2 linked regions of the Lonchura striata genome follow. Each later gene encodes a partner of the first gene's protein in a complex. Links are inferred from orthologs where the notes say so. Each region holds a gene or a part of one and is shown on either strand. Other genes may lie near its edges.

Evidence for each region.
Region 2: the proteins of SPAG9 (region 1) and ARF6 are in contact, whole or in part, in a crystal structure (PDB 2W83), measured with the Homo sapiens proteins. The link is inferred for Lonchura striata from reciprocal best matches to the Homo sapiens genes SPAG9 and ARF6. Residues at the interface, in NP_001124000.1 of Homo sapiens: Lys431, Asn432, Ile435, Val438, Asp439, Thr442, Cys443, Asp446, Val447, Gln449; in NP_001654.1 of Homo sapiens: Glu13, Arg15, Lys34, Phe47, Val49, Glu50, Thr51, Thr53, Lys58, Asn60, Trp62, His76, Tyr77, Thr79.

Annotation. Positions count from the first base shown.
Region 1 is NC_134621.1:6,224,566-6,228,472, reverse strand, and holds the start of SPAG9 (C-Jun-amino-terminal kinase-interacting protein 4), read left to right. Parts: upstream 1-777; 5' UTR 778-852; coding exon 853-1,158; intron 1,159-3,907. UniProt on the Homo sapiens protein: The JNK-interacting protein (JIP) group of scaffold proteins selectively mediates JNK signaling by aggregating specific components of the MAPK cascade to form a functional JNK signaling module.
Region 2 is NC_134608.1:1,969,967-1,973,873, reverse strand, and holds the start of ARF6 (ADP-ribosylation factor 6), read right to left. Parts: upstream 2,798-3,907; 5' UTR 2,716-2,797; coding exon 2,188-2,715; 3' UTR 1-2,187. UniProt on the Homo sapiens protein: GTP-binding protein involved in protein trafficking that regulates endocytic recycling and cytoskeleton remodeling. GTP-bound form plays an important role in the transport of multiple palmitoylated proteins form the Golgi to the plasma membrane.

The sequences.
Region 1 (3,907 bases):
TGGGACAAGACCTTTGAGACCATCCAGTCCAACCTGACCCAACACCACCTTGTCAGCCAGATTGTCAGCCAGTCTTTTCTTCAACACCTCCCTGTGGGACCCATTCTAATGCACAATCACTCATTCTGTGAAGAATTTCTTCCTAATGTCCAACCTGAACTGGCCTGGCACAGCTTAGGGCTGTGTCCTCGCTCCCTGGTTCAGAGCAGAGCCCGGCCTCAGCTGCTGCACCCTCCTGACAGGAGGAGCTGCAGAGAGGGATAAGATGTGCCCTGAGCCTTTTTCTCTCGGCTGAGCTGCCCACAGCTCCCTCAGCCGCTCCTCGCGGGAAGCGGGCTCCAAACCCTTCCCTAGCCTTGTTGCCCTTTTAAAGGTCTCTTCCAATCCCGACGATTCGGTGATTTGCCGGGATTGGGTGATTTGCCGGGATTGGGTGATTTGCCGGGATTGGGTGACCCCTAACGCGCCTCCCACAGCGCAGCCCTTCCCGCCGCCCGCATCTTCCCCACACGCAGCCGCGGCCCCGCCCCCTCACGCGGGCCCGCCCCCTCACGCGGGCCCGCCCCCTCACGCGGGCCCGCCCCCTCACGCGGGCCCGCCCCCTCACGCGGGCCCGCCCCCTCACGCGGGCCCGCCCCCTCACGCGGGCCCGCCCCGTGACATCACCTGTCGTCCCGTGACGTCACCGCGCCCGCCCCGCCCGCCCCGCCCCGCCCGCCGTCCCGGCAGCCCCGCCCGGCGCGGCGGGTGAGGTCAGAGGCGCGCGCCGCTCCCGCCCGGCCCTGCCGAGGCTCCGCCGCCGGGCGCCGCTCCGAGCCGGGCCCCGCCAGGCCCCGCACAACCCCCGCCGCCATGGAGCTGGCGGACGGCGTGGTGTACCAGGAGGATCCCGGCGGGCCCGGCCCCGCCATGATGTCGGAGCGGGTGTCGGGGCTGGCGGGCTCCATCTACCGCGAGTTCGAGCGGCTCATCGGGCGCTACGACGAGGAGGTGGTGGCCGAGCTGATGCCGCTGGTGGTGGCCGTGTTGGAGAACCTGGACTCGGTGTGCGCGCACAGCCAGGAGACCAGCGTGGAGCTGGAGCTGCTGCGGGACGATAACGAGCAGCTGCTCACGCAGTACGAGCGGGAGAAGGCGCTGCGCAAACAGGCCGAGGAGGTGAGCGCGGCGCCGGGCCGGGCGGCACCTCCCGGGCCTGCCCGGGGCGCAGCGGGCGGCCAGCCCCGGGCTGCTGGAGCTGGGCTCCAGACGCGGCTCGCAGAAGGATGAGGAGGGAGGAATCCCTCCCGCTCCGTGCGGCTCCGTGTGCTTGCCATCCCCTGAGCCGCTCGTCCCGGAGGGATCCCCGGGAGCCGCTGCGCTGCCGCCGGGGCCGCGGAGCGAGCGCGGAACCGGGCGCTGGTTGCGCTGTCACGGCCGCGGAGGGAGGCGGGTTGTCCATTTCTGCGGAAATAGTGACACCACGTCGCAAAAACCATGGGAATACGCAGTGTCTAGGCTGAAGCTCTCGGAGCTGCTGCTTAAAGCTGCAGGCAGCAACAGGTGGTGTGGACTCTCCGGTGACGTCGACTCTGATTTTGGATGTTAGATGTTTTTATTTCAGTGTCGGTACCAAGAATCACTTCAGCATAAGCAAGCTTGTGAGGCATTATCTAATGTGATATTATAAAGCAATAGAATGGGAAGCAGCTGTGCAGGATAACTTCCTCCTGCTCATTGTCTTGCCAAACTCCTGAAGGAAATTGGATTGGCAGCATTATCTGTTTAACATTAACAAGCCATCTTACAAGTGTATTTCCAGACCCCTTGTCCTGTGCTAATCTCTCTGGTTGTGTTTGCCTTCTAAATTTTCCAAAAATCAGAAGAACAACCGCACTGAGGGTGAACACAATATTAACGGTGAAAGCTTAATTTAAAAAACATTAGCCCTGTTTAAATACTTGTTTGTTTCTAAGTGAGTGCAAAATGTTGTCTGCAGATTATTCCAGGACTCCATTTGTTGTGAAGGACTGTGGTCCAGCTCCTGGACTGATAGGTCATTCATCCTCCTTGTCAAACACATGGTGGTTTTATGATGCCATATAGACTCCAGTTAGGGGACTGGAGTTGCCACACTATTTCTAGCACAATGTAAAAGGGTCTTTTAGAAAATATGTTTGCATTGAGAGTAATAGGAAGGGATTGATAAATACTTTCTGAACTAATTAATGAGAAAATCCATCAGGCTTGAAGCGCAGGCAGCATTTCTAAGATCAGAAACAGATCTTGGGCAGCAGGACAGAAGCCGTACCTATGTGAGGATACAGATCATAGGGTTAAGTTTGTTGTTGTAGCTTTTCAGGAACTGTATGTGCCTGTATTTGTTTTGTGCTTCAGTGCCATCTTCATTTCTCTGTGTCATGATAAATTAACTTGAGAGAACAGGCTATGTGCAGTTGAAGAACCAGCATTCATACTGCAAGACACCTGGCTGATGCTTTCCAAAGTGCAGTTAGACCAAAGACTGTATTTTCATGGTAAGCACAAAGGTCATTTTTGTGATGTGCTGAGGTCATTGCACTGTACAGGTGTGGAAGTGTTTGGTACAGCCTGATGTATTCAGGAGAGGCATATGTGTTAGGCATGGTTGTTGAATTATTTTTTTGATGCTGAGATAACCTGATGTGATTTCAATGTGATTGAAATAAAAGGAGGGAACAGAAATTTAACAATATTTCATTGGACAAAAAGTTATTGGCTTAGCACATTTCTTTTGTTTGGGGTTTGCCTGTGTCATGTGGTGGCAAAATTGAGAATTTTGAGCTCCATGTTTAATGTCACCTGTTCATAGAATCACACAATGAATGATTTGGGTTGGAAGGGATCTTAAAGTTTGTGTCACGGGCAGGGACACTGTTGCAACACCAGGCTGCTCCAAGCCCTGTCCAGCCTACCCTTAAGCACATCCAGGGATGAAGCAACCACAGCTTCTCTGGGCAATTAACACACCTTCTTCTACTTTCTGCTTGTTGTTGTAGGAAATTTACTTGTGGCAGTACCTTAATGCACATTAAATAGTTTACTATTTGGGTAGGTGTCTCCTTACCCCATTTTTGTAATTTGCTTTCTTTATTTCCTGTGCTTAAAAAGTGTTACTAAAAATATCTTAAAAGTTGATGCCTGTGGATTTCTGGAATAATTTTTTTTACCATCACCTTGACAGAAGTTCTGGGCCTACTTCTCAACCCTCTGGGTACAGTTTTGATCTTTGTAGTTGCTGCAAAATTACTTGTCTGCCTTTTAATTTGGTAGGTTTTTTGATATCGCTGAAGGAATGGAGGAACCAGCTGCTCTGCTGTTCTCCACTTGGTGACTCTGAGGTAGTCTGTGAGGCCTGCCCCAAAGAAGTGGAAGAGGAACCAGCATTTGTGCTTTTGCTATTGTATACCCTGATAAGAGTTACTTCTGCAGCAATGTGCTGTTTCAGACCTGCACTTGTAGCTGGCATGTGTTTTGTGTGCACTTGGGAAGAGGATAAAAATCTACTCCATTTAGCTATGCCAAATTGGGATATCTTTTAGCTTTTCTGCTGTTGGTGGGATTAAGCTGTTTTTGAAATCTTTGGCAACTGTGAAAAAGGATTTACCACTACTAAAACTGGTTTAAGTCGTAGCATAAACTTGAGGTCTGCTTTTTCTGCTGTTCCCAGAGGTAACTTTCTTTAGAATCTTATGTTGAGTAAACACTGTGCAGTAAGAGTTTAAGTATTTTTAATTTGAGAGAACAGAACCGAGATGCATTTTACAGAAAACTTTCACTCTATTTTATGGCTATCAGGTTGTTTTCATTTTGATGTGTTTTTCTGTCCTCCATGTCCATCTGAACTGGCTTTTTAGGTGATTTTTTTTCCTTCCTGCTCCAAGAAGAA
Region 2 (3,907 bases), on another chromosome or scaffold:
AGCTAGAAAATAGAGCAATGATATTCCAATGGCAAAAAGCCTTGGATTAAAAGAAACTAATCTCACTTCCTCTTCTTTAGGGCCGAGATGGAAGAGTTATTTCTACATTAGGCTTCTGCAGACTCTCTCTAATTCACAAAGTCCATCAATGCTCTATCTTCTAGCACCAAGAACCCATCCAGTCCCATTTGCAACCCACATCCAGAAAAGTCTTTTTTTGGAACCATACTCTAAAAGGACTTTGAAGTGCTCCAAAGCATTGGATTTCAGAAGTGAATTCAGGATTTTTATCTTCCCATACATCTTTGGTAAGAGCTCCATGTGTACAATGTACTCAGCATGCAGAGTCACCACGGCAGCAATGTAGTGTAATGCCCCCAGTTCCATGTAAAACTTATATTCTTGAAAAGAGAAAACAATTAAGGAAAAAAAAAAAAAGGAAAAATAAAAGCCATTTTCTTCTGGTTTTGTAGCATACATTCCTAGAATTCCCCAACGGAGTTTTAACTCCTTGAGGAAATCTGAAGTTAATCCTTAAGGCTGAATAAGAACCAGCTGCTTTAACAGTTTGTGCACCCAGCGTTAATTAATACTTGATTGAGTTTTTATGCAAATACTCGCTCCGGGTGGGGTTTTTGATTGGCCAGTCCCAGCTACAGGCTGTGACATGGCTAACGAGCTGCTTTGCCCTTTAAGAACTAATTATGGAAGTTTACATTCAGCGTCGATTCTCTCTCTCTCTCCCCTCCCCGCTCTCATTAGCAGTTCCTCAATGGGCCTCAGACATCCAACATAGTTCCCTTTCCTACAGGACTCCAGCAGCCCCGGGCCACAGGGAGGAGGCTCCAGCCACTCGCAGGAGCTCAGTCCAGGCTTGGAAAACCAAAGCAAGCAGTGATTTCCTCAAAATGGCCATTCCTGATGTCAGAAACGCCGGGCGCGAGCAGAGCTCGGCTCGGAACTCGCCGCCCTCGCAAGGCTCCAGCATGGAAAAAGAACAATAATAACAATAAATAACAATTTCCTCCTGCCTGTTGGAAAGAAACAGGAATCCCTTCAAGGTTTTGGTGTCTCCAGCTGCCTTGAGATGGAAGCGAGAGGCAAGTCAGAGCTGGACTTTTGCCAAAACATCTGATTTAAACTCAAACTCATTGCAACATTTTATTGCTGCATCTGCTGGAAAGGGCCTCGGCCCGAGGACCGACACCAAGGAGTAAAAAACTGCAACTAAACCTCATTTAGGACAAAAAAACCTGCCCAGTGCCTGCCCTGGAACTACAGCATCGCTCATGCCTGCTTTGCTAGGTGGTGTGGGGAGCTGGTTTTGCATCCCTCCTCATTCATGATGTATGGGTCAGAACTTCCCAGCTGACATTCCAAAGCAGATCTTACATTTCCCAGCGCCCGACACGCACTTTGAACACGTTACAGTGGAATTCCCACTCTCTGCCACTGCAGGCAAGAATTCCCCTCGTTAGCCTGAGCCGTGGGGCCAGACTGAGTCACTGTTTAGTTACAGATTAACAGAACTTTTTTTTTTTTTTAAAAAAAAAAAAAGTCCTTAATATAAAAAGACAGACTGCAGTTTGATTTTAAGCAACAATTTTCAGTTTACTAGATGAAGTCGACCTAGCAACATATCCTGCAAGAATGCAAAAAAGTAGCAATCTACAGCAAAGTGAGAGAAGAGAGAGAAAAAAAATATATATATAATCAAAAAAGTAGACCCAGGAAGCATACACTGAAAATGGACCCCCTCCCCCAACATCCCCCAAAATAATCAAACCAGCAAAGGGCTAACAAGAGGAAAAAGGAAAAAAAAAACCAACAAAAAAAAAAGTTACTTAGCAAGTCTATAATGTGTCCTTCCCCTGTTTGCTGGAAGTCTGCCATAGCATCTAGTGCCTGTGTTCGTGTCACATTCGGAGGTTAGAGCATCCTAACGCCAAGCAGGAGGAGTTAGAACAGGAATCCAGCCAAGGGTGCAGGAGGAAAGGGTGGCAACTGGAGAAAGGTGATCATAATCCTATGGATGCGGTTTTGTTTTACTTTCAGTAGAGAATCATTCTTCTGGAAAGCCACGTGGGTTATTTAATTTTTTTTTTTGTTTCTTTTTTTGTTTGTTTGTTTAAATTTTTTTTTGTTTTGTTTCTTTAATTCTTTGTAGACTAAATAGTTCCTCTCCCATTAGGATTTATAATTGGACGTTAACCACGTCAGCCCTTCGTAGAGTCCATCCCCCGTCGTGGCACAGGAGGGCTGCACATACCAATTCCTATCCCTGATCCGGGTCAGGCCCAGTTTCTCCTGGATCTCGTGGGGTTTCATGGCGTCGGGCAGGTCCTGCTTGTTGGCGAAGATGAGGATGATGGCGTCCCGCATCTCCCGGTCGTTGATGATGCGGTGCAGCTCCTGCCGCGCCTCGTCGATGCGGTCGCGGTCGGCGCAGTCCACCACGAAGATGAGCCCCTGCGTGCCCGTGTAGTAGTGCCGCCACAGGGGCCGGATCTTGTCCTGGCCGCCCACGTCCCACACGTTGAACTTGACGTTCTTGTAGGTGACGGTCTCCACGTTGAAGCCCACGGTGGGGATGGTGGTCACCGACTGGCCCAGCTTCAGCTTGTACAGGATCGTGGTCTTGCCGGCCGCGTCCAGCCCCAGCATCAGGATCCGCATCTCCTTGTTCCCGAAGATCTTGGACAGCACCTTGCCCATCTCGGCGGCATCCAAGGGAGGGCGAGAGGGCGAGCGCCGGCCCGGCGGGGAAGGGCGGGCGGGGCTCAGCGCGGGCCGCGCATGGGGCGGCGGGGAGGCGGCTCCGCTGCTCCGCCGGGCCCGCGGCGGCGGCTCCGCCCGCTGCTGCCTCGGCTCCCGCCGCGGCGCCTCAGCTCATGGGTACCGGCGGGAGGATCCCGCGGGCCGGGCAGCGCCGGGAGCGGCCGCGATGGCCCCGGGAGCGTCCCGGGAGCGCCCGGCCGTACCTGAGGGCCCCGCGCGCCGCCGCCTCCGCCCGCGCCGCCGGAAAGGGGCCGCGCGCGCCCGCGCCCGCTTCCGCCCCGCCGCCGCCCCGCGCATGCGCCCGCGCGGGCCCCGCCACGCCCGCGCCCCTCCTTCCGCCCGCGCCTTCCCGCCCGCCCCGCGCGCCTGCGCCGCCGCCGCCGCCCCGCCCCCGAGGGGGGGGCTCCGCGGGAGGGGGGGCGTGGCCTCGCCGCTGATTGGGCGGGGCGCGGCGGCGCGCGGAGGGGGCGGGGCCGCGGTGGGGAGAGGCGCCACGCGATCGCGCGTCAGCGCGGGGCGCGCGCGGGGCGCGCCTTAAAGGGGCAGCACCCGGCGGGACGGAGCGGCACCGGTACCGAGCCCCGTACCGAGCCCGGTACCGAGCGGGCCGTGCAGCCTGCCCCGCACCGGCGCTGCGTGCAGCGAGGGCGGGAAGCCCCGGCACCGCTGCCCCGAGAGGCTGCGGCTGCCCCTTGTCCCTGGCAGTGCCCGAGGCGGGCTGGGCACTGGGCCGGGAGCAGCCCGGGACAGCGGGAGGTGCCCGTGCCCTGCCCCGGGCCGGGCCGGGCCGGGCTGGGAGGTCCGTTCCAGCCCGAGCCTGCGGTGATTCAGTGCCGCGTCATCGGGTTTATGACTCCGCGCTGTCCTGGGTCACCGCCAGCGATCCCGGTGGGCGGAACTCCCCGGCTCAGCGCCCGGGGCAGCGGGCAGCGCTCGGGGCACGGCCCCGCCCTGGTCCCGAGCCGTGCCCGGCACGCCCAGCGCGGGGAGCCGCAGCTCTGCACGCACACGGCGCGCCCGGGGCCGTGCCGGGACACCGGGACACGGGAGCGGGGCCAGGGACACGGGCACGGCCCGGCTCCCACCGCTCCTGTGAGAGCCGGCCTGCGCTGGGGGATGCTCCCGAGCT